Ovis aries: one gene and its partner. The protein of the gene in region 2 interacts with the protein of the main gene of each other region in a pairwise test. Links are inferred from orthologs where the notes say so. Each region holds a gene or a part of one and is shown on either strand. Other genes may lie near its edges.

The links.
Region 1: the proteins of TK1 (region 2) and SETDB1 interact in a two-hybrid assay, tested with the Homo sapiens proteins (2 studies listed by BioGRID and IntAct). The link is inferred for Ovis aries from reciprocal best matches to the Homo sapiens genes TK1 and SETDB1.

What each region holds. Positions count from the first base shown.
Region 1 is NC_056054.1:100,896,643-100,911,659, reverse strand, and holds part of SETDB1 (histone-lysine N-methyltransferase SETDB1), read right to left. Parts: intron 12,727-15,017; coding exon 12,692-12,726; intron 12,251-12,691; coding exon 12,151-12,250; intron 11,189-12,150; coding exon 11,063-11,188; intron 10,896-11,062; coding exon 10,694-10,895; intron 10,021-10,693; coding exon 9,947-10,020; intron 9,028-9,946; coding exon 8,837-9,027; intron 8,089-8,836; coding exon 7,959-8,088; intron 6,770-7,958; coding exon 6,622-6,769; intron 6,539-6,621; coding exon 6,380-6,538; intron 5,754-6,379; coding exon 5,130-5,753; intron 4,558-5,129; coding exon 4,441-4,557; intron 1-4,440. UniProt on the Homo sapiens protein: Histone methyltransferase that specifically trimethylates 'Lys-9' of histone H3. H3 'Lys-9' trimethylation represents a specific tag for epigenetic transcriptional repression by recruiting HP1 (CBX1, CBX3 and/or CBX5) proteins to methylated histones.
Region 2 is NC_056064.1:53,314,150-53,329,249, forward strand, and holds the end of TK1 (thymidine kinase, cytosolic), read left to right. Parts: coding exon 1-79; intron 80-2,550; exon of another isoform or gene 2,551-2,622; intron 2,623-7,113; coding exon 7,114-7,203; intron 7,204-7,497; coding exon 7,498-7,617; intron 7,618-7,798; coding exon 7,799-8,002; 3' UTR 8,003-8,738; downstream 8,739-15,100. Other genes in the region: SYNGR2 (synaptogyrin-2), read right to left, coding at 10,423-10,778, 11,347-11,584, 13,419-13,517. UniProt on the Homo sapiens protein: Cell-cycle-regulated enzyme of importance in nucleotide metabolism. Catalyzes the first enzymatic step in the salvage pathway converting thymidine into thymidine monophosphate.

The DNA of each region.
Region 1 (15,017 bases), on a different chromosome or scaffold from region 2:
GTGAATAAAAGAATGCCTAACATCTGGAGAAAAGCTAAGTGAACCAGGATGTGAATATAGATTAAGAGCCGTTAAAATAAGTCAGCTTGTAGAAACTGATACAATAAAATATATTTAAGGAAATCAGAAGCCCATATAGTAGACACTGAAAGGGAGCAAAAGATGAGGAACTGGAAGTTCATGGGACTCTTGCTTTTGGTACTGATTTTCATTCTTTTATTCAGCGAACATTTATTAAACACCAAGAGCTGTACTAGACAGTGGGAACACAGCAATGGAAAAGGTCATGATCTCTCCTCTCAGGGAGCTCATTTCTATCTAGTTCAAGGTATTACAACTTAATTATTTAAAAAATAAACTATTGAAGTTAATCAGAGAGAGCCAGTAAATATCAACATTAAAGGAAGATAATACACTGAGAAAACTGTCCTATTTTTAGGGAGTATCCATTTTTATGCTCTACTTCGTGTTATGGTTTAACTTCTTTTTTTTCTGGTATGTAAATTTAAGGAAGACAATCGCTTTTAGAAAGATGACAACAGTACAGTCAGTTGATGACGTCAGCAAAATCTCTCTAGGCAAAGGTAACAGCAGCTTCTATTTACCAAGCACATATATTTTGTGTTTGACAATATATCAATGCTTTATATACATTCTCTTATTCTATCCTTACAGCAGCCCTATAAAGGTATGTTTTTAAATTTACTAAAACATTAAAGCATAATACACATAGAGAGAAGAATATGTAAAAGTCTATAGCTCAACAATTTTTCACAAACTGCACACACCATGTAACCAATACCACATCAAGAAAGAACTTTGTTAGGTCTCAAAAACTCTACTGGGGTTGGGAAGGTATTAATGTTCATATCCTCTGTTAACTAAACAGGATCAGTTTGGAAAGGACAAGTCCAGAATGTGAATTCAGGTGTAATCACCACGAAGGGCTTCCCTGGTGGCTCAGTGGTGAAGAACTCACCTGCCAATGTAGGAGATGTGGGTTCAATCCCTGGGTTGGTAAGAGCCCTGGAGAAAGACATGGCAACCCACCCAAGTATTCTTGCCTAGGAAATCCCAGAGATAGAGGAGCCTCCATGATACAGTCCGTAGGGTCGGAAGAGTCAAGACAGAACTGAGTGACTGAACAACAACTACTAATCATCACCACATGAAACTTTCAGAACAGCTAAACAGAGTACCGTTCATCCACTCAACAGAATTTACGCGGTTAGTATACGCTGTGCACTGGGTAAAAATCTGCTCATGATACAACGGTAAGCAAGAGAAACAAGGTTCCTGCCCTCATGGAGATTATCTCTTAATGGAAAAAGAGACCAAAAACAAGTCAACAAATAAAATGAAAGTTGTCACAGATACTATAAAAGGACAAACTCTGAATGAGATAATTAAAGGAGTGAAAATGACCTAGTTTGAGAGTGACCAGGAAAGGTCTCTCTGAGGAGATGACAGCAAAGCTGAGAGAGAGCTCAAGGTTAAAGAAGATAAGCATGCAAACAACAGTGGAAGGATGCCAGGCAGAGGGCACAGTATGTACAAAGGCTCTCGAGGTAGGCTGGCAAACACTGGGCGAACTGGATCCAGGCACTGAAGAGTGTCAGTGTGGCTGGAACAGTTTTGGAAGGAGAGAGATAGGAAGGGGTCAGACAGTACACTGTCTTGTGATCCAAGATTAAGAGTCAGAATAAAATCCAAAGTGCAGTGGAAAGCTCTTAAAGAGTTTTAAGTAGGGGAGGAACATATTTGTGGTTATGTGAAAATACTTTTATGAAACATTTCAAACCTATAAAAAAGCTATAATGAACACTCACAGCATTATCAAATCTAAACATTGTTACACGATTCAATTTTATTACAAGTAAAACATCAATGACACAATGTAGCTAACGCTAATAGCGGTGTTTTCCTTTGCTCAGTTTTCAATATGCATTCAGCTTAAATTTATGTCCTGATTTCCTCTGATGATACTCAGACACATCAGGCTTTCTATCAAACCCCGTTTCCCAAAAGTTTCTCCTGCAGCCAAGTCTGACCTGCTCTCACACTGGCTGTTCTCTACATCTGGCGCACAACTGTCAGCCTGGAAGCCCCCTTAACTTCACTATCATGTGGGATTCCCCTCACTCTTCTTTAGAGCTCGATCCACTGTTTCCCGGATCAGTATGTGCCTTCCTCTCTCTTGTCTTTCCCCCTCACTTAGAACATTTCCAGTAGTTTTCTGAGGGGAAATAAAGGAAAAATTTGAGGTTATTTCATGTCTAAAAAAATGTTAGCCTACTTTAACCCACAACTGACAGCTTTCCTGGGTTTAGAACTCTAGGTTAGGAATAATTTTCCTGTGCTGCCCTGGTGGCTGAGTGGTAAAGAATCTGCCAGCCAAAGCAAAAGACACAGGTTTGCTCCCTGATCTGGGAAGATCTCGCATGCCACAGAGCAGCTAAGCCCATGCACCACAGCTACTGCACCCGTGCTCCAGAGCCCGGGAACCACTATGAGCCACGCGCACTGGACACTGTGCTATGACAACAGGAGAGGCCACCGTGGCAAGAGGCCTGTGCACTGCAACCCGAGTAGCACCCTCCTCGTCACAACTAGCAAAAAGCCTGTGCAGTGACGAAGACGCAGCACAGCCAAAAATAAAAAAATTATATATATATAAAATAAATAATTTTCCTTAGAATTGGGAATAGATTCCTTAATTGCCATCTAACTATAGACATTATTTTAAGAAGGCTGAAGTTACTCTGAATTCTTTTTGTGGTATCTTTCTCTTATGTAGAAAGTTTCAGTATTTCCTTTTTGTCCTCAGTGTTCTGTGGATGTAATGATCACGTTTTATCATGTGCTTTAGTGGGCATCTATTTTCATCTGTTATGCTAGAACTTGATTTCACTTTGGAAACACAGACCCTTTCATTATGGGGAAACATCTGAATTATTTCACTGATCATTCTTTCCTCTTTGTCCTTTCTGTTAATTATGTATTTCTTACATACTAGGCTAATTAGGTCACATATTCATATATATCCAGCTTACCACACTATATCCCACTTTATTCAGTCCTCTCTCTGCCTTACCTGTCCTTCTCAATCCCACATGCTGATCTCATGTCTCTTCTTAGTCTCACATGTTTTTATCTCCTCTGTCCAATTTCCAGTTGCAGATCCCAGGACTTACTTCTGGGCACCTTCTGGGTCTTTCCAGATGAACTCATCCAAGTTGTAACTACCACTCCTGAGCTGACGATTCCTAATTCTTTATGCCAGTCCTTACAGTTCTCTCTAGAAATCTCAATGCCTTCTTGACATTTCCACCTGGGTTGCCTAACAGACACCTCAAACTTAATGTGGCCAGAACAGCTGAATTTCACTCCGACCTGCAACTCTAGCTCTAGTCTTCCATTTTGGTACAAAAACCAACATACACCTAGTTGTTCAAGTATAAAATTTAGGACTTGTCCTTGATTCTCTTCTCCCTCCCATTCCATAGTCAATCTATCATGTTCTGTAGCTCTATCTCCAAGTGCATCCCCCGAGCACATGTGCCGCCAACTACTGAAGCTTGTGAGCCCCAGAGCTTGTGTCTGCAAACAGGAGAAGTCATGGCGATGAGAAGCCCATACACCGCAACTAGAGAGCAGCTCTTCCCCTGCAACAGCAGGAGAAAAGTCTGCGCAGCAAGGGCGACCCACTACAGCCAAAAATAAACACATAAAATTATTTTTTAAAAATCATTTTCCTTAGAATTTTGAATAGATTCCTCAACTGCCATCTAGTGTCTAACATTATTTTGAGAAGGCTGAAGTCACTGTGAATTCATTTCTCTTTTGTGGTATCTATCCTTTCTCATTTCTACTGCCACTTTCAGTCTAGGACAAGCCCCAGCAACCACCACTTCTCACCTGTGTTCCTGAAATTACCTAATTGAGCTTCCAAAGTCTACTGCTGCTGCCCTAAAGGTTATTTTTCACAGAGAAGTTAGAGTAATCTTTAAAAGGCAGACATCGGTTATCTGCTTAAAATAGTCTTAATAGCTTCCTATCACATCATGAATTTGGTTCTAATTTTTATTCTGATTTACAAAGTCCTATAAATCAGGCCCCTGCCTACTTCTCCTCTTTGAGTATGTCTCACTTGCCAGAGTAAACCACAATCTGTTAGAATAATCATACAGCTATGAAATCAAAGTCATATTTTACTGCAACAGAAAACTACTAGATACTATTCAATCATTATATGCATTCATTTCAAGGAAAGCCCAAGGAAGAAATATGTGCTGGGAATTTGGTAAGTAAGATTTAATTGATTAAATGTCTGTTTAAGGTTTGTTTTTGGCTTCAATTTTATAATGCTGCTATTTCCTACAAACACAGACAAACAAGAATTCAGTCCCTGAGGTGCTAAACTTTCCCCTGACTACTTACCCTGTGGGCAGACATTCTTCTAGTCTCTTGTATTGGTAGCCAGAGTTGGGGTTGATTTGGCCTCCTGGGGTGCAGGCTGTAGCCTGGATAGTTAGCTGATGGCAGGCACACTTGGACCTGTATAAAACAGAAGGGTTCAACTACTAGAGCTGTGAGACTTTCTTCAGAGGCAAGAAGTACTACTGATAAAAGGAGGGTGACAGGGTAGTAAAATTTCTTTTTCTTCTCCCATACGTGTAAATGAGAAAGGAAAAGACAGTAGGAATATGACAAAGTAAGATAAAGAGACACAACTAGCAACTGAATGCATGATGGAGGGAAGCAAAGGAAAAGGAGAATCAGAGAAAAAAACAAAAGTAAGACACATGTGTTGCTGTTCAGTTGCTAAGTTGTATCTGACTCTTTGTGATCCCACGGACTGCAGCATATTGGGCTACCCTGTCCTCCACTATCTCTCGGAGTATGTTCAAGTTTATGTCCAATGAGTCTAATGTTATCTAAACATGTACCCAGGATTATGCTGCGGGGTCCCAGCCTCTCTGGAGGCCTTTCAGAAGGAGCTACAGCTAAGAAAGCAGATCAAGGAAGGTGAGGAAAGGAGAAGTGCAGTATAAGGCAAAGAAAGTGGTGGAAATAAAGGAAACCACAACAAAGTTGGAGGCAGGGCCACAATTCCCTAACCAACTCACTTGTCCCGGCACCCATCTTTGCAGTCACAGCCGACAAGAAACTCAGGGCCTGTGTTAATGAAAACACCCTTGCCCGGGATCCGTTCCTTGCTGTAGGCCACCTGGGGTGGGGGAGTTGTGTCAATCTCGTTAACGCAGGATAGAGGAACGTCTTCCTTCCCATAGGTGATGTCCAAAATATAGTAAAAAGGCTTATAGGGCTGAAACTTTCGGTCCACAAGAACATACGGATCCAAACAGAACATCTCCAGGAAGAGGAAGTCACAGCCAGTCTCAAAAAGGTAACGCTCGATCTCCTGCATTGTCCGAAGGCAGAGGCCACAGGGTGTCTTGTAGATAACATGGAAGCCCATCTTGCGGTTGACCCGGCGCCGGGCTGTCATCCGCCGGAAGTCATAGAGTAGTGGGACTAACAGAGGGTTCTTGCCCCGATACTGCTCACTTCTCATAGGTCTGACTCGAGACAGACAAGTATAGCTGCAGACATGAGGTAAGTAGAAAAGCTTCTCCATGGGGGCACGGTAGGAGGGCTCTGCAGGGGCCCGCTCCAGCATGCCATGGAAGGCTGGGGGTGCTGGGGGAGCTGGGGGAGCTGGGGCAGAGGTTGTGGAGCCTAAAGGTGACCTGAAAATGAGATGCAAGAGATCAGATCAGAAGGCAACAGGACCTCTATGCTGTATAAGTAGCCCATTAGCTGGCTAAACCACTTCTCTAACCTGTCAAACAGCTATACGCTTGAAGCTAAAGATGACACAAGTAAGTCAAACTTCCTCTTGCCTTACTGGACAATGAAACACCCTGGTTACTCTTCATTAACTGATAATAACTGTTTCAACAGTGTCTTTTTTGTGAATTTTATTTTTTCCTGTGAATTGTGGGACTAGCATCCAGTCTTCTATCCATGCTAGTTGTTTCCCCTGCTATGTTTCCTATAAATGCCCGTACTGACCCCCAGGATTCAAGGAAAGAGGCTACCAAATTCCCTTTCTATGGTACCGATGACGACACCACGTTCAAAAAGCAGTCTTAACAAATGACTTTCTGGTGATTGTATTTCTAGGCACCTAATTTCTAATTCAATTATTCTTACTTTTTGTTTCCTGGAAAATTCCAAGGTTAAAGCTTTCAAGTCCAAACTTCTCACCGTCATAATCTTAACGAGGCCCCTTGTGGCCAAGGAACCTCCCCATATAGTGACCACTCAGTCCACACTGCCAACATTCCCAACAGAGAGCCTGAGATTTTCTCACCTATATGTCTGATTGATCCCAGGTTTCCCACCAGGGGCATTTTCACTGAGTGCAGGGGATGTAGGGGAGGAATGACCAGAGCCCACAGATCCTGGCCGGAAAGATGTGCTTTTTTTGGCTACCTGCTTCCGAGATTGGGCAAGCTGGCCTTCCAAGCTTCTAGGAGATTAGAGATCATACAGTAAGGGATACAGAAAATGTAATATAAAAGAAACTGCTGAAAAAGAAGGAATAGCACTCACTCACTGTCACCTGCCTGGGGGGACAGAGCTGGACCAGGTGGGGCAGGTGGGGCTGTCGGCTGTGGGGGTTCCGTAGGCTTGAACTGGGTTCCAGTACTTGTTAGATCCTGAGTGTACTGGACCACAGGACCTTTGCTTCTCACAGCACCTGTAAGAAAAGGAAATTGACCATAGAGAACCTAAGAGCTGTGCCATTTATATTCATCCACAGATTTGATTCTCAATTTATATAATAAAGCAACAATGGAAATATTCTAAGTGCTAAGACTGTTAGATCTCATTATTTATACCAATGAGTGGGAATATTGGCACAGGCTGACTTTCATTTAAATAGTAAGATTTTATCTTCCTGCCTCGGACAATTTACATTAATAATTATTCTATTGCTGTCGTTGTTATTTAACTGCTAAGTCATGTCTGACTCTTTGTGACCTTATGACTGTAGCCCACCAGGCTCCTCTGTCCGAGAGATTTCCCAGGCAAGAATACTGGAGTGGGTTGCCATTTCCTCCTCCAGGGGATCTTCCCAACTGAAGGATTGAACCTGTGTCTCCTGCATTGGCAGATGGATCCTTTACCACTGAGCTGCCAGGGAAGCCAATTATGTTATACTCTGGTAAAAATTTTCAAAAATACATTCTCTGATCAACTGATGTTGTCAAGAAAAATTAACCAAAACGTATGCCAGGAACATATAAAGACAAAACCAAAATTTTAAAACAAGTTAATCACACATGGTGGATAAAAATTAAGACTGGAAGTCAGGGGATATGGGTTCGATCCCTAAACTGAGAAGATTCCATATGCCACAGAGCAACTAAACCCGTGTGCCACAATTACTGAGCCTGTGCTCTAATACCTAGGAGCCAGAACTACTAAGCCCGCATGCTCTAGGGCCTATGCTTTGCAACAAGAGAAGCCACTGTAATGAGAAGCCTGGACACTGAAATGATGAGTAGCCCCTGCTAGCTGCAACTAGAGAAAGTCCTTGAGCAATGAAGAGCACCGCAGCCAAAAAAAAAAAAAAAAAAAGACCACAGATAGCACACACAAAGCAGATAATCCTCATGTAAATAACAGAGGTAGTTACTACCAACAATACCCCTAACCTAAGCTAGTTGTTTCAGATTTTTATGTGTTTTTGAGAACAAATCAGAGCCATAGTATGTTGAGGCAGCAACACAAATTCATCACCACTACTGGAAACTTAGGAACATGTCCTGTTTTCAATGTGGCAGTAGCGTCATCCTGGTAAACAAAGGATATAGCCATCGTACATATACCTCTTTGCTGATTTGTCCATTTTTTCCCTCTCCCAGATAGCTTTCAGGACTTACCCATATTTGGACGTGTTCTAAGCTGTCCCCCTTGCTTCTTCTCTAGTGCAGAGGCGGATGATGTCTTCATGCTGAACATGGGCTCCAGTCGTGTAGAGCCTCGATAGATCCATTCACATCTTTTGTCATCCTAGGGGATCGCAAGTAAGGAAAGGCGGCAGGGGAATGGGTTAAAGGCCAGAATCTACCCTGCCACTTGTGAAGAATACCATGTGCCTCCCTTGGGGGAAATCTCCCTGATGAACGCCCAATTCCCTATCTATTCAATAAATTTATGTGCTAGGCTCCACAACAGGCATCAGGAATTAAACAACAAAAATAAAACCCCCCAAAACAAAAACACATATTTCTTGTTTAAAAAAATGACAAGAGATAGATGTTTATACTGAGTATAAGACATATAACAAGGTTCATTAGGATCAAAGGGCTGAGATAGCTCAGAGAAGAAATATAATTCTAAGAAAGGTGTGAGAGGGGAGAAAAGGACAAGTAGAGAAGATTTAAGAGTTAAGCTGGGCCTTGAAAGATCATCAACACCTCAGAATTCACTGATCCTTCTTTTTTGTCCCATTATATTATCAATAACCCTGGGAAAACAGAACTAGCAGCCTTCTCTGTATCTACATGCATTGTGGATACTCCTGGAGAAAAGCAAAAACAAAAACACTATCGTGCAGATTAGAGTCTTAAATTCAGGGACTTTATTTTTAATAACCATGCATAGAGGAATGAAAAAAAAGTAAAATATGACCCAAAACTGAGAATAGGTAAGAGAGTAACAAAGAAGAAAAACTATGGCATAGCTACATATGCCATAGTTATCCTATGCTCCCCCATCCCACCCAAATCCCCGCCTCTAAGACTCCTAAGAAGAGTACCAGAAAGAGGATCCTGACTAGGCTGCCGTCCACCTCCTCGACTCGGGACTTCCACCACGTGCCTTCCCACTCAGTCTTGATCAGCTGGCCACTCTTGAGCAACACCATGGGGCGGTTGGGGTAAGCGGTGATATACTCTTCTATGAAGTCTCGGCAGGAGATGTCTTCTATGTCCTCCCAAGTCTTTTTCACTGTCCCAAGGAAGAAGGAGGGCTGAGAGAGGGCAGGTAGGGCATGTCTTGATAGGGGGAAAGGGTTGACAAGGAAATGTTTGGCATTTTTCAAGTTGGGAAGGAGAGAAAAAATAAATGAAGAAATCATAACCTCAAGGGAAGCAAAACCATGACCACTTAAAAGTACTGAACCTAAGGTGCAAATGCACACTCAAATTCTGCAAATACTAATTGAATCAGCAGTATGTAAACATAGGTGAGTCACTCATTTCCTAGAAATGGATGTTTCCTCTTAGGAAAAGTCAAGTGGAAATTCTTGCTTACTTGATAAGCCTAAAGGTAAATCAAAAAGAATCAGGAGGCACCATAAACTGATTTTAAAAAATCCTGTCCTTCCTTCTCATGCTCCATCAGGCTTTCAAAGGACCCTGAGTGTATTCACTGCCATGTTATGTGGAAACAGCCATTTCACTTGACCTTCCTGCAACTAAAAACAGTTGCTTCTATAAGAGTCTCTCCTAAGCCAGAATCACAAGTATAGGGGAAACTATGAAGACCCCATCTAATACAGGTTCTGTAGAAAGCACTCTGAAAGCAATGCACAGACTACAGATTTACACAAATGTTAAACATGAGACTAGGAGAGAAGTAACATCTTGTCAAACTTAAATCACTCAGAAATGAAACTAAAACACATCTACAATACGTGCATCCACTCAAAATCAGTCATGATCTTCTAATGTCTGACTCTATGGCTGCCAAGACCTAACACTAGGCACGAGCAAATAAAACTGTATCTCTCAAAAAATATGAATCAAACTTATGCTCTTTGAAACTAAAACACCAAGAACATTAGGGCTTTTCCATTGGTTGTCTTAAGAAATAGAAGGTAGAAGAGGAAACAAAAAGAGCTAAGGAAAAAAGGAGGGACACTCACGTGGCCGGCAAATGGGATATAGTTCAGACTGTGTAACATAGGAAGCATAGCCATCATCAAAGAAGATGAGAAACCTGTAAGGAAAGAGTGATGGTAGAAAGACTGGGGGTTACTATATTTAACATGACCAGAAATTATTATAGCTTCCATTCCTCTGGATCACAAACAAGACACAATCCAGGGAACATGTTCCAGTGTACTGTTTTCTTTCTACTATTCTTTCTTTCCACCCCAAGAGTTAAGAATTCTCCCTTAGGTTAGCAGATGCAAACTATTATATATAGACTGGATAAACAATAAGGTCCCACTGTATAGCACAGGGAACTATATTCAATATCCTGTAATAAATCACAATGGAAAAGAATATTAGAATTCTCTCTTAATCTAACCAACATATCCCCACTTTCCCAAAAGTGATTTATTCTTGTTATACTATTGGACTCTCACATTGTTGAAAAACATTTAGTCTCCATTTCTTCCTTCTGTATGAATTCTCTGTTCCCCTAACCATTAATCAATCTGGATTATTCTCCCCTGACCAAATTTTCTCTTTGAGAAAAGGGAAAAAAAGGGGGGAAGGGAGCAAGAAAGAACCACCCACATGACTCTGTGGCAAAGGAAAGAGGGAGTTTCCAGCCACTGAGGACTAAGAACATCAGAGCCAATTGTGAGATCTGCACTATGGCTTAAACAGGGCAGATGACCTGCTCCTGGCTTCCACTCTCCTTACAATTTCTGTCTAGGTACCTGAGCTTGTTTTTGACGTTTGGTGTCTCAGCTACAATGCCAGCATAGAGCCAGACCTGATTCCCATCTTTGTATTTGGCCACTACTCGACTGCCCACATACAACTTGTCAGCAGGAGGGTGGTAATCGTAGGCAATGTGGTTTCCTGACAGAAGACTCTTTCCTTTGTTGTCAAATTTCACCTTGTACTTCTTTCCTGACCCTGAGTCAAACGGAAAAGAGAAACAAAAATTTTTAGAAACCATCAGTTTCTGTGTGGATCCTGATTGCTATGTGAGAGACAAAAGCCAAAGGCTCTGGGGAAAAGACACGATCAGTGATGGTGGCCTGCAGGCTCTTGCATTAGCCCTCCCTCTAGCCTGAACATACCAACCGTCTGGATGGCAATAAGGGTGCCTTTGTGCCACGTCTTAGTTCTTTTTTTGCCGAGGATGCGCATGCTGACGACCAAGTCACCATCTTTGCTCAGTTCTCCAGGCATCTGGCTCAAGGTTCCTAGGAAGAAAGCAAAGTTGCTCTAAAGAGATATGGCACAGATTGGGGAAAGAATGGAAAATAAAGAGGGTACTGGGTTATTGGGACAAATGGGGTAATCACTGATCCTTAACCAATTTTCCTGCTCCCTTGGCCAAGGGCAGATATATAAGACACAGTGGACTCAGCTCTTTATGCTAACAGGAAAAATATGAATTGAAATTCACATGTAACTCAAGACCATCTCACTGTAACCAAATATTTCTGACTCCTTATTAACAACATTAACTATTACTCATTAAATGCCAAGCAGCATGGTGGCTCAGACCATAAAGAATCCACCTGCAATGCAGGAGACCTGGGTTTAATACCTGGGTTGGGAAGATCCCTGGAGGAGGGCATGGCAACCCACTCCAGTATTCTTGCCTGAAGAATCCCCATGGACAGAGGAACCTGGCGGGCTACAGTCCATGGGATCGCAAAGAGTCTGGCACAACTGAGCAACTAAGCACAGCACAGCTTTTATAAATCATTTTCCTGGGAGGGATCTCTTAATAGCTGCATTCTACAAAGAAAGCTTCCTTCAGACCTCTTTTTTACAGTTTGAGTTACTGTTTTCTTTAACCTTCATCTGAAAGAAGATATCATGAGCACGGAGCTAAAAAGTTATTTGGACAAAGCCATCACATGGTAGAAAGCCATCAGACAAACGACTTAAGCCAAGAGACTTCCCCAGTGGTCCAGTGGTTAGGACTCCGCACTTTCAGTGCTGTGGGCCTGGGTTCGATCCCTGGTCAGGGTACTAAGATCCCACAAGCTGAGTGATACAGCCAAAAAAAAAAAAGACTTAAGCAAACAGCAAGTGGTATTAAAAGAATCCTACAGAGGTAGAGAAAGACACTGAAACATTAAAACACAGTATCCATGAAATCTCTGTAGGACTTCACCCCTGCACCTATACCAAGATGTCTCCTGACTCTAACCTTTGTGAAGATCCTGGGAACTACTCTTCTTGTTGACAGCATCCATGAACTTCTGGACATCTTGAGCCGATTTTCTTAAGGCAGCCATAGCTTCACGGAGCTGTGAGGAAGGGGACAAAAGAAACAAGTTTTAAAATAGTAGCACCGCTTCTTGAGAATAACAACTTGTCTTTTAAAAAATGAAACAGACTGAGTTATGTTTAGAAGCTTACAGTTACTTCTAGAAGCTTATAGTTACTCTATCAGGCAAAACTTGCCCTTTCTTACAAATCTGGTTCAGAAATCAGCTTTAGGAAGCTTTCCTTGATTAATTAATCTAGCTTATCACTGCCAAATTCTATATTCATACAGCATTCAGTGCATGTATCTATAAGGAGCTTTTGTATTCTTATAACATTCATTAGAGAACTGCAACCCATGGGGCTGACTTCAGGGTGACTGGTTATATCTTGATGACTGAACTGACTTAACGGTTAGGCCAAAAGTTTCTTCTATCTTCATATTCTTCTCTCTCATCCTTCTCTTACTCATTTCAAGTTACCTTCTGGTCTTTTGGAGTTCTGTTCCCAGCATCACCTAGATGAGAAAAATTGAGTGAAAGACTTATACATAAGAATTTCCAAGAAATCAAGAACCAAACTATCATGGGAACACTTGATAACAACTATAAACTAGTTACAGATACACCTATCTATGTAAAAGTACGAAAAGCATTCAGAAAGATAAAACAGCAAACAGATAACAATTCTTACCTGGGGATAAAGTACTGGTACAGGTGACAGTCTATGGGATCTGGGATTTTCAAATACTTGAATTTTTATAACAATAATTTTTTTATGGGTCATCTGAATGATTTGAAAAATGAAATGTGCCCAGTGAATTAAGTTAAAATGTTTCTTGAGTAGTGCTGTCCAATAGATAATGGTGATGGTTGTACAACCTTGTGAATACACTAAAAACCACTGAATTATACATTTTAAAAGGGTAAATTTGTTATGTAAATTACCATCTGATTTTTTATATTTTTGAGTCAAATTTAAAGGCTTCCGTAATAGCTCAGTTGGTAAAGAATCTGCCTGTAATGCAGGAGACCATGGTTCGATTCCTGCTATGATAGACATATTCTGTTTCTGCACTGGCCAATCTGTTACAATTCAGCGACTAAGCACACGAAATGAGTTTTAAATTTTACTGAAGCGAAGTAAAGTAAAAGTTGCTCAGTCATGTCCAACTCTTTGTGACCCCATGGACTGAATTCTCTAGGCCAGAATACTGAAGGGGTAGCCTTTCCCTTCTTCAGTGGATCTTGCCAACCCAGGGATTGAACCCAGGTCTCCCGCATTGCAGGTGGACTCTTTACCAGCTAAGCCACAAGGGAAGTCCAAGAATACTGGAATGGGTAGCCTATCCCTTTTCCAGTGGATTTTCCCGATCCAGGAATCAAACCATGGTCTCTTGCATTGCAGGCAGATTCTTTACCAACTGAGCTATCATGGAAGCCTTTGCTGCTGCTGCTGCTGCTGCTAAGTCTCTTCAGTCGTGTCCGACTCTGTGTGACCCCATAGATGGCAACCTACCAGGCTCCCCCGTCCCTGGGATTCTCCAGGCAAGAACACTGGAATGGGTTGCCATTTCCTTCTCCAATGCATGAAAGTGAAAACTGAAAGTGAAGTTGCTCAGTTGTTTGACCCTTAGCGACCCCATGGACCACAGCCCACCAGGCCCCTCCATCCATGGGATTTTCCAGGCAAGAGTACTGGAGTGGGGTGCCACTGCCTTCTCTGATGGAAGCCTTTAAATTTGACTAAAAAATTTAAAAAATCAGATGTAATTTACGTAACAAATTTACCCCTTCAAAATGTTTAATTCAGTGGTTTTTAGTGTATTCACAAGGTTGTACAACCATCACCAGTATCTAATTCTAGAACATTTTCATCACCCTGAAAAGAAATCCCACTAAGTATGGGGTTTCTATTAACAGTCATTCCCCATTCCACCACACCTGCAACCTCCAGCAACTACTAATCTACTATCTGTCTCTATGGTTTGCCTTTTCTGCATACTTCACATAAGTGGAATCATATGTGGTACATCACATGAGATTCATCAATGTTGCAGCATTATTAGCACTTCATTTTTATGATTAATACTCCATTGTATGGCTATACTATATTTTATTTATCCACTCATCAGTTGATGGACATTTGGGTTATTTACACTTTTTGGCTGTTATGAATAACGTTGATAGGCACATTTGTATATGAGTTCCCAAAAATAATTTAAAAACTATTTCTGGCTGTGCTGGGTTTTAATTGTGATGCACATGCTTTCTCCTTGTCTAGCTGCAGTGGGCGGGCACTACTCTCTAGCTGTGGTGGTGTATGGGCTTCTCATAGCGGTGGCTTCTTTTGTTGCGGAACACTGACTCTAGGGTGCTTAGGCTTCAGTAGTTGCAGGCTCAGCAGGGTGCAGCACACAGGCTTGGTTGCCCTAAGGCATGTGGGATCTTAGTTCCTGGACTAGGGATCAAACCCATGTCCCTTTCATTTGCAGGAGGATTCTTAACTGCTAGACCACCAGGAAGTCCCTATATGAGTTTTTATGTGGGCATATGTTGTCATTTCTCTTGGATTATGGCTAGGAGTAGAACTGCCAGGCCATAAAGTAACTCAATGTTTAACCTTTTGGTGAATTCAAAGACTTGTCCAAAGTGGCTGTACCATTTTGCATTCTCACCAGCAATTTTAGAGGGTTCCAATTTCTCCACATCCTTACCAAAACTTATATTACTATCTTTTTTCTTACAGCTATCCTAATAAGTAGTTTTGACTTGCATTTCCTTAATAGCTAATGATGTTAAACATCTT
Region 2 (15,100 bases):
CCTGCCAGCCTGTCTGCTCCGGGACGTGATCCAGGATGCCCAGGGCGTGGCTGTCATAGGCATCGACGAAGGGCAGTTTGTAAGTTGACTTGTCCTGACATTGCTCTTCCTATGAACCCCTTTTTCCTCTGCTTGTTTGGAGGTTATTGGTTCTATTTCTGATCTTTAAGTAGGTAAATATTGTTAAGTTAATTTGCTTTAACTAGTATCTGAAAACACTTTGAATTTCCCTTACTGCTTTCTGTATTACTGAGTTGTTTTCTTTTTTTTTAAACATTTATTTATTTGGCTGCTTGGGTCTCATTCAGTCTTCATTGCAGCATGAGGGATCTAGCTTCCTGACCAGAGATCAAACCTGGGCCCCCTTCATTGGGAGCACAGACTTTTAGCCACTGGACCACCAGGAAAGTCCCTCTGTTACCGTTCATGGAACTTATTATACCTTAAAAAAAAAAATTACGATGAACAAAAAAATTTGATTTCTCAATACCAGAAAGAAGGGTTTGGTTTGGTTTGGCTCAATGATGCTTCTTGCCTTTTTTTTTTTTTTTACTATTTATTTATTCATTTGACAGCACCACGTCTTAGTTGCGGCGTGTGGGATCTAGTTTCCTGACCAAGGACTGAGCCCGGGCCTCCTGCATTGGGAGCATAGAGTCTTACCCGCTGGACCACTGGGGAAGGGTCCCTCTTGCTTGTTCTTTATGGGTTTATTTTTCCTCCTACAGAAATACATCCTTTAGTAGTTCTTACAGCCAGGCTGTGTCGGTGGGAAGCTCTCCGTCTTGATGTGAAAATGGCTTTGTTTAGTTTTCTAGTTTTAGCAGGGTGGCACGTGCCCAGTGTTTCCCCTTATTGCTTTGGAAAAGCAGCAGCCCTGCGCCTTAGAGCTCAGGAGAAGGCTTCTCTGATCCCTTTCCTGGGCCGGGAGCCTGTCTGTTCTTTCTCAGAACAGTGTGGTCCAGAGAGGTCTTGTTTGTATTTATCCTGCTTTATACTGGGTGTGGCTTACTTAACAATCTACTCTTGAGTTTTTCGTTTGTTTTTGCTTTATTGGAGTACAGTTGATTTACAGTGTATTAGTTTCAAGTGTCCAGCAAAGTGAATCAGTTATATGTGTACATACATCCACTCTTTTTTATTGACTCTTTTTCCATATAGGCCATTACAGAATATTGAGTAGAGTTCCCCGAGCTATGCAGTAGGTCCTTGCTAGTTATCTGTTTTATATATATAGTGTGTATATGTCAATCCCAATCCCCTAATTTATCCTCGCCCACCTCATGAGTGATATCATTTGGTATCTGTCTTTCTCTGGCTCCAGGTCCATTCACGTCGCTGCGAGTGGCATTATTTTGTTCTTTTTTAATGGCTGGGTAATACTCCATTGTATATACGTACCACATTTTCTTTAGCCATTCATCTGTTGATGGACATTTGGATGCTTTTGTTTGAGAATCAAGAATCAATTCTGTAACTTCCGTTTGTCTTTCTGGAAACCTCTTTTTAAAGTTGTTTCCAGCTCACTCTGCATCCAAGTCATTAGGAGTGTGTTCTCTGGCTGAGCTTGTGGGTTGTCTCTTGTGATCTTAGTTTCTCTCCAGCGTTTTTGCAGTGTTTTATTTCTTCAAGTGTGTCTTGAATGGATGAAACTAAAACTCCCGAGGGAGTTTACTTCAACCCCCACATCCACCCATTACGTTAGGTAACGTGAGCGCCTATGACAAATGTATATCAAGTCATCAGTGGTGGGATGGCCTGCCAGTGAGGCTCCTGTCTTCACACGTGACTTCCAAGATCAGTCCGGTAGCTGCATGCTGACAGTAGAGAGGAGACAACCCGGAGGTCCCAAGAACCTAGTGGGTCCCTGGGTGGTTTCCATGTGCTGGGGTCCACATGCGTGCCTTGCCTCTGCTGCCTCCTCACCTCTGGAGTTTTGGCATATGGTTCCCTTATCTGTACCTTTGGTCCAGTGCTGTGCCCTGGAGGAAGAGGAAATAGAAAATTAAGGAAATACTTTTCTTTGTTAGGTGAGTGGTTAGCAATCTGCCTGCCCTGCCTTCCAGGTCCCAGGGCAGGGTGGAGCCAGTGGCTTGGGCTGTAATGTCCTATAGGGATGTCTCAGGCTCTGTTATGGTGATCACAGCTCCATGCTTTCCTCCCACCTGAGACTGGGGATCCTCTATCCCCACCCTGGGTGTATCTTTCGGTGTGTGCCTTCTGGAGATGGACTACCAGCTGCCCGGACCTGCTCCGGGAGCCAGGCTGCATCCGTCTATTCACCCACCTTGTTGTGACCACTCCATCTCTGACCTCAAAGATGGTCAGCTTGCTTCTGAACACAGCTGTGTCTTAGCTGGCCTCTTCATGCACACACACACGTACACTTCTGTTATCATTTGTGGCTTCATGGTGGAGGGACTTGGGGTAAGAGGGGCTTCAGGGTGAGAACAGGGCTGCAGCTCTTCCCTTTCTCTTCTAGACTCTGATCTCCAGAAGGCTCTGGGGAGCCTGGGTCGATTTTGGGGGGTGGCTCTCAGAACAAAAGCTTCCCTGGTGGCTCAGAGGTTAAAGCGTCTGCCTGGAATGCAGGAGACCCAGGTTCGATCCCTGGGTAGGGAAGATCCCCTGGAGAAGGAAATGGCAACCGACTCCAGTACTCTTGCCTGGAGAATCCCATGGAGGGAGGAGCCTGGTAGGCTACAGTCCATGGGGTCACAAAGAGTCGGACATGACTGAGCAACTTCACTTTCTTTCACTTTCTTTCTTTCTCAGAACAAGGAATGTGAGCTTTGGGGAGGCTCTCCCGTCCTTCAGGCCCAGTGTGTGCCTGCTTACCACTCTGCTCCCTAGCTGTAAGTAAAGTGTCTTTTCAGGGCTGAGCTGGACACCCTGGCAGGGACCTTCCTCTCCTGACACCTCCTTGGTTGAGAGCCAAGTGCCCTGGTTTGGAGCTGGTGGGCCACCGGACCCCCAGTTCTGTTCCCTGTTTCTATGGCTGCTTCCTCTGGCCAGTGAGTCACAGCTGAGTTTCCATCACAAGTATTTATTAAACGCCCTATAGAAACATCGCCAGTCTTCTGTTCTATCCTCACCCCTGTGGGTCTTGCTTAGCAAGAAGTCTGGAGGCTGTCTCTCAACGTGGGACCCGACAAAAGGACTGCCCTTCCCTTCTTTCATCCTTCCTGTGCAGACGGGTTGTCGGGGAGGGGTGTGTCTGAAGTCCCCAAGCTATCAGCTGAGGGTACAGTGATAGGTGGGGAGCTGGCTCCTGGGCACGCCAGCCTCGCGGTGTCACTGAGTGCCGGTCTTATCTCTATTTTACCACAAGTAGGAAGGGGGGTCATCTAGGAAAAGTCAGGAAGGGCTATACCTAAGAAGAAAGTCCATAATTGACTACTAACGTCTTCTGTCCAGAGACTACCAGGAATAGCCCCAGAACTGAACAACTGGGGATTGTAGTTGCAGGGAGAAACTGGCATGAGAACTGGGGGGATGTGGGTGAGGGCTTGGTTATTAGGAAATGGGGGCGGCGTTGGGTCATTCCTGGGAGGGTTTTGGAGGCCGGTTTGGCTCTTGATTTGGTGTCCTAGGAAGGGTGATGATTCTGACCAGCATCTTAAATGTCACCTGTAGGGAGGGTGGACCAGGAGGCCGAAGCAGCAGGGGTCACTCCTTTAGCCAGGAGGGGGGGACATTTGGTACCCCATAGCCTAAGTGATGCTTACGTTCTATCCGCGCTCAGACATGGTTAGGGAGGGGTCTGGTTTGTTTGTTTTGACCATGCCACACAACGTGTGGGATCTTAGTTCCTGGACTAGGGATTGAACCTGGGTCTATGGGAGTGAGAGCTCTGAATCCTAACCACTGGACCCCCAGGGAATTCCCTAGAAGGGGTCTGGTTTTGTCCTGTGTGACTGGGCCAGAAGCTCATGAAACTAACTCTATGAAATCAGTTGTATGAAATTCTGTTCAGCACAGCAACCCCAAGGCCCACTGTGAGTGCAGGCAGCTCCTGCTGCTGGCCTGCCCTTCTCTTTCGCTGCCCAGAAAAACAAAACAAAAATCACAGAACATCTTGGTCTGGATCCTTCTAGTCTCTGTACGTATATATCTATTTATAGATCGGGTTCATATCACGTGTTGTGACCGTCTTTCCACATCAACAGACACCTATCCTTATGAATGTACCGTGTCTTGCATGACCCGGCCCCTTGGGTATGGCACTTAAAGGCTGTGATGCACATGTGAGTGGACATTGGGCTGTCATCTGGTGTACTGGGGTTTATTTGGTGTATTGGAATCACTGAAAAACAGAGGGGCTGGAAAGAAAGTGGGGTGAAGTTCCCAGGCAGGAGTGTGTTCCAGATCAGGGGCTTTGGCCTGGTCAGCCGGAAGGACTTCAGCATTCACCCTGGGAGAACCTGGAAGCCGCCCAGGACGGTCGTCTGCTGGAGGGGCATGGATGGACTGCAGGAGCGGGGCGGGGACTGCTGGGTCTCTGCAGACATCCCCCGTGGAGGGCCGGGGGCGGGGGCTGCACACACATATTCTGCTCTGACTGCCTTTCTCTTTTCTTTCTGGGTGGCTGACATTTTCCCTGTATTTCTCCTTTTGTAAAGAGCCTCCTCGTGGTTTGTCTTTCCTCTAGGTCATGTGATATAACCAGCGCCACTTTGTCACATGCTGTAAATAATTCTTCCTGGTTTATTTGCCTCTGGATTTGTCTGGGCGTCTCATTTAGTCTTTACCATTCGTGGTGGAGCGGCTGGATCCTTCACTGTCACATCCTTTGCCCTGTCCCCTCTTGTGGCCTCTGCAATCTTCAACGCCAGCCAGGCTGCTAGGAAGCGAGGTCTCCGCCTGGGCAGGGCTGGGGTGCTTCCTTCGAGCGTCACGAGGCTGCCACCTCTGGGCAACATGACGACAAGGGCGAATCTCCTTCCTGGCTGCCTGACCTCCGCTTCCGCCGCTTTCGGTCCTACCCGCCCCCATCATACCTCGTTCAGGAAGCGGCTCTCGGCAGGTCAGCCCTGGTGCTGGGCCGGCAGATGAACCACATGGGCAGGCTTGTCAGTGTCAAGAAACCCCACCTGTTGCTTCTTTTCTCGCTGGATCCCCTGTGGTGATCATTTTTGTCTCCCAAGAAAACTCTGCATTTGCTAGGTCCTCTGAAGTCCTGCTTTAAATGTAGCCTGTATTGGGGTCTCTGGCTGCTCTAATGTGCACTGCAGACCAGGCAGTTTAAACCACAGACATTCATTTCCTACAGCTCTGGAGGCTGGGAGCCCAAGATCAAGGTGTGGGCAGGGCAAGTTCCCCTGAGGCCGCGAGGGAGAGTCTGTCCCAGCCGGTCCCCTCGGCGTGCAGGTGGCCATCTGCTCCCTGCCTCTTCACATTCGTCTTCTCTGTCTGTCCCTGGGTCCAAGTTTCCCCTTTTCGCGAGGACACTATTCCTACTGGAGTGAGGCCCACCCTACACGCCTACTTTAACTGGATGACCTCTGCAAAAAGGTCACATTCTGAGGTATTGGGGGTCAGGGTTTCAGCATAACAATTAGGGGTGGGTGGGAGGGTTCACAAGTCAACCCATAATATAACCTAAAAAAATGAGTGGCGATAGAAACAAATGTCAGTAAGGTGGTTGGTTACCAGTGGGCCTTCTGCGATGTTGCAGACAACGTGGGCAGCTCTGACTGTACCTTGGATCATTCAGGAACCCCTGCTGGGCAGCTCTGACTGTACCTCGATCATTCAGGAACCCCTGCTGCAGGCCCTGGGTTCAGTGTTTGGGCAGAGAGTGGGGTGGCATGTGAACAGGGCGCAAAGTTCAGGTGGAAGAACTGAGCTCTCTGACCGCGGGCATCACTGTAGCAGGCAGGGTGGAGGACCCCTCGCGGTCCCCAAACCCTGGTGTGGAGGGACCATGTCTGGACAGGGAAGGTAAGATGAAGAAGGTGCTCCTCCCAGGGTGGTTCTGCTCTCAACCTTCCCCGTGGATTTCTGGCAGTGTCTAGAAACAGTTTTGTTTGTGACAATGGGGGTCGGGTCGGGGCACTGGCCGACAGGTCCTTACAGGCTAGCGGCTGCATTTCTGTGACCTGTGACAAGTCCTTTAGAGAAAAGGAGGGGCCTCACCTAGAGCCAGGCTGGAGCCTAGGGGTGGGAGGTGCCATTTCCATAGTGCAGGCTCGGCAGACCCTGCAAACCCTGCAAACCCTGCAGAGGCCAGTCAGATCTGGCTTTGGTGAATCCTGCTGGAACTGGTTTGGGTTCTCTAAGCCCTGTCCTGGTCCTTGTCTGGGTGAGCCCTCGGGTTTTGTAACTACGCATCTCCACGAGTAGCTTGGAGAGAGACCCTTTGCCCAAACACTGGAACTCCCCACTTCATCCAACCCACAGACCAGATAGATGATTGACCAGTGAAAGGTCACCAAAGGATTTGTTTAAGTAGTGGCCCCTTGGGCCACTTGAAATGAAATTTGATTTACCAAGTAAGGACTTCCCACGGGTGGTGTGTTGAGCCATCCTGCTCTGTAAGTGGCCAGTGGAACTCCTGCCCCTTCTCCAGGCATCACACGGCACATTATGTTTAAAAGAAGAAAAAAATAAAAGCAAACACACAGAGCCTGCCTCTCAGCCAGATAGCATATGTAATAAATTATTTGCGTGTCCTTAATCCTTAAACATCGCCAGGGGCCTTCCTTGCCTTTTCCTGGGCTCAGGAACATGAAGTCATTGCCAGGGTCACAGCTAATGGGTCCAACGGAGAACCTGGTTCAAGCCTGAGGCAGCGGATCCAAGCTTTGGTCCACTGCAGTGGCAGACGGCCTCTCCACCTGGGTTGCATCACCCTGGTGGCAGTTCCAGGCGCCTAGCCTGGAGCGCAGCCTGGCTCTGCTGTGGAAAGTTGGTGCGATGGGGGAGTGAGTCGGGAAGCTGTGGATGTGCAGGCCGTGTACCAGATGGGAGGGCTGGCGCGGCCTTGTTCTCAGCTCCACGTGGATGCAGGTAGCTGTAGCTCCTGGGCCTGGCAGCGTGTCTGCAGCTCCTGGAAGGGGCTGCCCAGGGCGGAAGCTCACTCCCTCCTCCGCCTCTCACCCTTTCCTCTAGTTCCCTGACATTGTGGAGTTCTGCGAGAACATGGCCAACTCAGGGAAGACCGTCATCGTGGCTGCACTGGATGGGACCTTTCAGAGGAAGGTGAAGTGTCTGGTCCAGGTCTTGGGGTGGGACCGGGGACAGAGGCCCAGGCAGCGCACAGAAATGGACAGCCCAGGGCGCCCTTGATGCCCACACCATGCCTAAGCCCAGGCACTCAGGCCAGCCAGTCCCAGCTCCCTGGGGTGCCCCTGACTCCACCTGCCTAGGGCAGGTGCTCTGGGGAAAGGCAAGGTCCAGGCTTAGTTTCCTGGCTTCAGGGGTGTGAGTCAGGGTCTCCAGGAAAAGCCCACCCGGCGAAATGAGTGTGCACTCCTCTTTCTGTGGATTGTACAGGCTTTTGGGACCATCCTGAACCTGGTGCCCCTGGCAGAGAGCGTGGTCAAGCTGACGGCGGTGTGCATGGAGTGCTTCCGAGAGGCCGCCTACACCAAGAGGCTGGGCGTGGAAAAGGAGGTAGCTGCCCCCTGCCTTCTCCAAGGGATGGGCGGGTGGGGGGCAGGGAGGGGCGCCTACACCTAGAGGCTGGGTATGGAGAAGGAAGTAGCCGCCCCCTGCCTTCTCCCAGAGGCGAGGGGTGGGGCGCTGCGCCCCAGCCCCGCTCAGTCCAGGCGCTTCCTGTCGCACCGCACGTCAGGTCGAGGTCATTGGAGGAGCAGACAAGTACCACTCTGTGTGCCGCCTGTGCTACTTCAAGAAGCCCTCGGGTCAGCCCGCCGTGCTGGACAGCGAAGAAAATAAGGAGAACTGCCCGATGACACTGGGAAAGCCCGCGGAGGCCGCGGGAGTCCGGAAGCTGTTTGCCACTCATCAGATCCGGCAGTGCAGCCAGGCCAACTGAGGCACTGGCCCCTCGCTGGGGCGGGCGCTCACCCGCCACCTGCTCCCCCCACTCGCCCGCTGTCGCCCCCTGGCGGATGCCGGGCCTTCTTGGAGGAGGAAGTGGCGGGGGGCGGGGTTGGGGCGGGTAGAGGTTTCACCACCAGCAGTTGGCCTGCTGCTGCGCCCTTTCCCAGGCCAAGGAGGCGGCTGGTGGTCTGCACTGCACACTTCCCTCCTTGCCTGCCCACCAGCTTTTCTCAGTTCCCATCCCGGCTGCGGGGCGGCTGCGGGGCGATCGCAGTCTCCCCAAGCCGGAGCTGGCCGCCCTATGGGGCGGGGTCTGGCCGCTGCAGCCATCCCTCTTGGGGTGAGGCCAAGCCGCAAGCTGCTGTGACATCGGCGTCGCCGGCTTCTTCCCCGTTTGTGGCGTTTGCTGTTGAGTTTCTGTTCTCACTGGGAAGTCCATATCCCAGCACCTCTGGCTCAGCGTGGGCCTCTTCCCACGCAAAGACTTGGTCCCTCTGCCTGGGATGGGCTCCTGGCTGCCCCTGGGGATGGCTGGACTTCTTATTTCCTTTGGGGCTGAAAGCCCTTCCTGATCTGGCGATCATTTTCTCCGGAATTACAGCTTCTCCCATGTGGGTGACACTCACCCTGCTCTGGGGCTCAGCTCCCAGGGGCTTGTTTTCTAAGGAGGTGGGGGCTGTGTGTATGTGGAACTGATAACTAATATTAAAATCTATTGGTTGGTAAAAGCCTATTTCTCTTTTAACTGTCTGGGATTCCCCGGGTCTCACTATAGACACCTCTGACATGATTCAGGTATGGGGATTTCCTTTCAAATCTTTTTCTAGTACTCCTGACCCCTTAACCACAAATCTTTTTAACTGAGATATGAGCATCAAGTGTTCTAACAGGCATGTTTGCCTGCTCTTCTGCCTGGGAGGGTTTCAGGTCAAGATGAGTGGATGCAGGAGCCTGGGGCTTGGTTGGAAAGATGAAGCCTTGGTCTGTGCTGCCAGCTGGGGCTGTGAGGTCAGGTTTTATTTTGTGAAACAGACACTTGACAGTTCAGGAGCCAGGAAGACCAGCTCTGCCGTGCCTTGGGAAACGGGCTGTGGACAGCTTATGGGAAGGTGAGGGTGCTCCAGGGTGGGGTGGGCCTGGGCTGTGTGTTCCAGATGGGGCCCCAGTTCCCCACCCTTACCCCAGCTTCTCCCTCTCACTGGCTTGTGGCAGGTTACAGAGGTGCAGTACCACGGTCAGACCATAATCCCCAAACCCTATTAATTTTTACTTGGGGTCTTGAAACTATTGGGGTCCACTTTTGACAGCTCCCTCTCACTGCTCGAAAGGGGAAGCCCAGAGTTGCCTCGTGGGCCCTGGCCTCCTGCCTGAGGGGAGCTCGTTCCCTGGCGTGGGCTGGGCAGTTAGGTCGGCTCCCCAAGGGTCTGAGATGGGCTGCAGGGGTTCTGAGTCCTGTCTACAGGAAGCAGAGGACCCTTGCCCCTCCAGGGGCATGCCAGGACCCTGGCAAGGCGGCCCAGGAAAGCTGTGTTGTTTACAAGCTGAGCACAGTTGCTATTTTAAGATGCTGATGGAGGGCAGCGTGAGGCATGAGACCCCAGGCGGGGTGGGGGTGGGGGGAGTTGCTGGGCTGTGGAGGGGCAGGTTGCCACAACTTAGGTTCCAGAAGGCCTCAGTTGCAGCTTGCACCTTGCACCTCGGTGGAACTGGGAGAGGCCCCACTAATGACAATGGAGACTATGAATGAGAAAACCATTTATTCCATCTCCAGAATTAGTCTAACAGAATCCCAGGGTGCTGTGCGTCCTTCCCCCAAGGCTTTGTAATATACATTCAGAGCAGTCTTGGGGCTGTGGGTGCGTCCGGTACCTCCTGACAGACCTGGGATATTTACATAAAGCTGGGTGTTGTCAGGCAAAGCCCCTCCCTGTGGCCACAGGGCGGGATCAGAGACAGGGTCCCCCGGGGTGGGCACCAGCCCTGCCCCTCGGCTGCCAGGAAGGTGACCCAGAGGCACTGGCACAGAGTGTGACCACAGGTCCAAGCGAGCACACACTTCAGCAGTGAGCACAGCCAGCCGCCCACAGAGCAGGCAGGGGGCTGGGGCGGAACAAACCTGAGTGAGGAGGGAAGGAGCCCCGGCCCAGTGCCCACAGCAGGAGAGAGAAGGCCCCGCAGCCTCGTCTTTGGCAGAGAACCCGAAATGGCTGCCGCCACCGGTGCCTGGACATAGGCCCGGCTCCCGGGCTGGGGAGAGGCTAAGGCACTTGTCGAAAGAGCATGTCGGGCGCCTGGAGCTATTCCCGGTGGGGATGCCGGTCATTAAAAGCAACAAAATGTGTCTAGCTAAAAACCCTTTCCTAAAAAATGCCCTCGAGGAGTGGTGGGTAAAGCCCTTGGGGCACAGGCACTTCAGGGCTCTCTCTCCAGGCCCTGTGTCAGTTCGGACAGGCGCCAGGTGCATAGAGAGGGGCCAGAGGCTCTAGGAGCCAAGCCCTGGGGGAGGAGCCGGGGAGGAGGGGAGGCCCCCCAGGCACTCTCCTCCCTCCCCAAACTGTCCTGGCTGCAGCTCAGTACACAGGGGGCGGCTGGTAGCCCTCGGTGCTCTCGGCATTCTGGGTGAAGGGCGGCTGCTGGTAGGTGTCCGCAGGCATGCCTGGGTAGGAGGCGTAGGCCGTGCTTGGGTCCGGAGTGGGGTCCACGTAGTTCTGGATGAATTCGTCCACTCCAGCCTTGTAGCGCTGGTAGGCCAGGAAGGCCAGCAGGCCCTGCAGGGAGCCCCGAGGTTTGGGTTCCTCAGCCCTGCACCACCCTTCACCAGAGACACCAGGACCCTGGGTCCACTTACCCAGGAGAAGATGGAGAAGAAGCTGAAGGTGATGGCCGCCCGGGCTGAGTCGGCTCCTACAAGCACATCGTTCACCTTGGTGGCCGCCCACTGATTGGTGAGGAAGCAGAAGCCAACGAACCACAGGAAGGTCCAGAGAGCTGGGGCGAAGGCCGGGAGGGGAGGGTTAGCTCCACAGAGGGGCAGGAGGACAGGGGCCCCCTGGGAGCGAGAAGCCTCCAGGGGTGTAGAAGTGTGCTGATTCAGAAGCTGGGCTGGGGACAGGACGCTATCTCTGGGGCTCTGCTCCAAGCCCCACTCAGCTCCAGGGGATTTCAGCAGACGGTTAGAAATCCTTGTGTGCCAGCCTGACCGTGGGTGAGGTCAGGAAACCCGGGGCTGCTCCCACCCCTCCCCAGCCTGCAGTCACAGCCCCCTAGAGCTTCTGGGAACACTGCTGCTCCCGTTCACCCCAAGATCAAGTGGAGGTGCAGCCAGCTGGCCGATACCTGAGAAGAGCAGGTCACCAATGACCAGGTACTTGCGGTCAGTGGCATTGCTGATCTGGGGGAAGTAGATGTCGACCACGAAGAAGAAGGCTGAGGCCAGGAAGGCCAGCACCCCAATGGCGCTGCCGTAGCGGCACGCATCCTCGTTGCGGTTGAAGACGCAGTACTGCTGCTGGGAATCATGGGTGTTGCTGTAGCCCTCGCCGAAGATGCATGAGAACACGATCAAGGCGAAGACCTGAGGAGGAGGCAGGGGAAGGGCTGCGTGCATGCCACCCTCGTGGGCCACACCTCCAGGCAGCACAGGGAGCGGGACCCTGATGGGAGGGGACACTGGCCTCCCCGCTCCTGCTGTTCCCCTGCTGGAGGTCGGTGACCCAGCCTTTCCTGAACTTGGGGATCGAGTCCCCTCCCCACTCCCTTCTCCAGACATCTGTTATAAGGGGCATGGATTCCTGGACTGAGGACAGTGGGGAGTGCAGGGGGATCTCCTGGGAGGGCACTGCCCACCCCGCTGTCTGCCTGGGGGATGGCTCTGCCTGACCACTCCCACTTGTGAGTTTTAAGCAGGATGGCTCACAAAGTCAGAGTAACCCAAGCTTGGAGTCTCACCCCCTGATCACCACCTGCCTGAGTCACCTCTCCAGCGCCCAGCCTCTGCCTGAACACCCAGTGATGGAGAACTCCTCCCACTTCAGGAAAACCATGCCTCTGAACTGAAACTGTGTCCCCAGACTGCCAACTCCCACAGCCCCCTCCAACTCTTCCCTGCTCCAGGCTGGGCTCCCCAGTTTGACCAGTTTTCCTCCTACAAAGAATTCTGGGCTCTTTGGCATCCTGGCCCCTGGCCTCCCAGGGAATCCCTGTTGGCTTCTGCCCATAGCTGGTCCTACCCACACAGGCACCTCAGGTGGGTCTGCCCAGCAGGCTTGTGGACATAGCTCTGTACTCAGACCCTGGAGGCACTGGGGTAGGGGGTCAAGAGGGTGCAGCACCCACAACTCTGGGAGGGGCTCCAGGCCCTTGGGAACAGCCTCACATCACCTGTCTCCACCCCAAACTGAAAGGCTACCGCCCAACCCCGCCGTATGTGAGTCTGGACACCTGGCTCCCTCTGGGACTAGCCCAGACCTCTCCCCCGCCTGCCCTGCCTGTCTGCACAAGGCCCTCTCAATAGGCTCCGGAGCTGGCAGTCACAAGCCCCACCCCCAGCTGGAGATGAAGCCGGAACTCTGGATGCTGGGAGCAGTGTGCCAGCCTGACTCCTGGCACTGCCATCCCGAAACATGGGCATCTGCTCCTGGGGTCAGACCCCCCGGGTCAGGCAGAGTGCGGATGAGGGTGTCACCAGGGCAACTCACAGGGCTCCAGCCCAGGCAGGTGCGGGTGGCTACCTTAGGCCCAGTCCTCTCCCTGTGGGCTCCCTAACACCTTGTCCAGCTTTGAGCTCTGGTTGTCCAAGTGCAGGGGACCTCCCACCAAGCCCCTGCCCCAGTAACCTGGTGCTGGAGCGGCTCACCCAGCTCAGGGGAAGGGGCACAGACTACGGTCACTTGACCTTGGGTGGGGAAGCAGACCCATGGGCTTCTTTTGAGTGGAGGACAGGCTCTGTTTCAGGGAGGCCAAGCCTTCCCCCGAAACCCCCTGCACCCCACGTGGCTTCGGAAAGCCCCCCTCCGGATGAATTCCCCCAGGCTGGGAGTCGCGGCATGCTGGCCACCTGTCCTGGAGCCGCCTCAAACTCCTCCCACTGCCAGCAGGGCGATGGGCCTGCTCCCGGCGGCGCCTCCCGGGCCACCCGGTGCCCGGGCCCGGAGGTGGGGGTGGCAGGGCCCGGGGTGGGGGGCGGCAGGGATCGGAGTAGGGGGGCCGGCGGGGCCCCGGGGTGCGGGTGGTGGTGAGCGGCTGCAGGGTCCCGGGCCCCGCTCGCCCGCCCCGCGCGCGCCGTTCCCACCCCCGGGCCTCGGCCGCTGCCACCTGTCGCGCTCTCAGGCGCGCGGAGGCCCCCTCGCCCTCGCCGCCCCCGGCCTGACGACGAAGTAGGGTCCCCGCGGCCCCGCACCCCGGCTCACCAAGCACACGGCGCGCACCAACACCTGCGGCTGCGTCACGAAGCGTCGCAGGTCAAAGGAGCCGCCCGCCCTGGGCGCGCCGTACGCCCCGCTCTCCATGTTGCCGTCGCCGCCGCCGCCGCCGCCGCCACCGCCGCCGCGGACCGCCGAGGAGCCAGGCGGCCTCCCCGCCCCCGACTCGACTCCTCCCCGGGGGGCGTGGCCAGAGCCGCCCCAGGGACCGAGGGCAAAGTGCCGCCCAAGGCGAGCGGCGGTGCCGAGGGGGCCGCGGGGCCCCGACGGCCTGGCCTGGCTTGGCCTGGCCTGCGCTGCCAGCGACCGAAATCAGTCCAGCGGCCGCCGGCTCATTGTCCAGCCCATGTCTCGGCCGGGTTCTCGTCCCTCTGCGATGCTGGCCCGCAGAGCTGCTGGAAAGGGTTCAGAGAGTCCCTGGGAAGAGAGGGTCGCAAGGAGGGCTCGCCCCTCTGCTCCAGCCACTCTTTGCCCTTGCATCCCCGCCTCCTCCTTCAGGAATCTCCGCTAGACGTCCGTCTGGGTCCCACCTGTCCACGACCCAGGCTCCTATGCACCCTCTTTCTTCTCCCCTGTTCTACCCCGGCCCCGGGGCCACAGTCTGGACCCCTCCCCGCCTGGTCACTCTTTCCTCCTCTCTGGAGCTAAGCCTGCGAGGGGGTCGAGACCACAGTTCAGTTCAGGTGCTTAGTCGCGTCCGACTCTTTGCGACCCCATGAACCGCGGCACACCAGGCCTCCCTATCCATCACCAACTCCCGGAGTTTACTCAAACTCATATCCATTGAGTCAGTGATGCCATCCAACCATCTCATCCTCTGTTGTCCCCTTCTCCTCTTGCCTTCAATCTTTCCCAGCATCAGGGTCTTTCCAAATGAGTCAGTTCTTCGCATCACGTGGCCAAAGTACTGGCGTTTCAGTTTCAACATCAGTCCTTCCAATGAATATTCAGGACTGATTTCCTTTAGGATGGACTGGTTGGATCTCCTGGCAGTCCAAAAGACTCTCAGGAGTCTTCTCCAACACCACGGCCCCTCCCAATCTTCCCGGACCCAGCCCAGCCCGGAGGCTTTGTAGGGAGGGCTTTGTGTGGGCCGACTTCCAGGCCCCAAGCTGCTGTGCGGACAGAAAGGAAGTTCCCAGGGTGACAGGCAGGGGGCAGAGTTTAATCCAGTTCTTTCCGGAAATGGCTCAGAGCCTCCAAACTGGAATGACTGGTGAGTGGGTGGGGAGTGGGGGTTGAGTTTGGGGGTTGGGGGCTAGTTCTCCAGGGGCCTCAGGCTGACTCGTCAGGGAGGAGTTCCAGCCATCCTGGTTGCAGGTAAGGCTTAATGAGGGGGTACTGGCCAGGTGGGGCCCGGAGTCTTCCAGGTGAGCTGGACAGAGGTGGGAGGTGGGGCCAGATGCCATCAGGAGATGGGGCGCCACTCCAGGGAGGAGGAGGGGGGGAGGCAGTGGTCCTGAGTGTGTTGGTGCCTCTGGGCCTTCACATTCCACCCCACCCTCTTCCCAGACCTGGATGGAGGGTGACAAGCAGCTGAGGCAGGGGCTCACTGAGCCCCCTCCTCCTAGAACCTCCCTTCCCCCGCCACCGCCCCCATCCCATCCTAAAACCCTCAAACTAGCACCATGTATGTTTGATGAGGAACCCCAGGGCTGCAAGATCCAGGC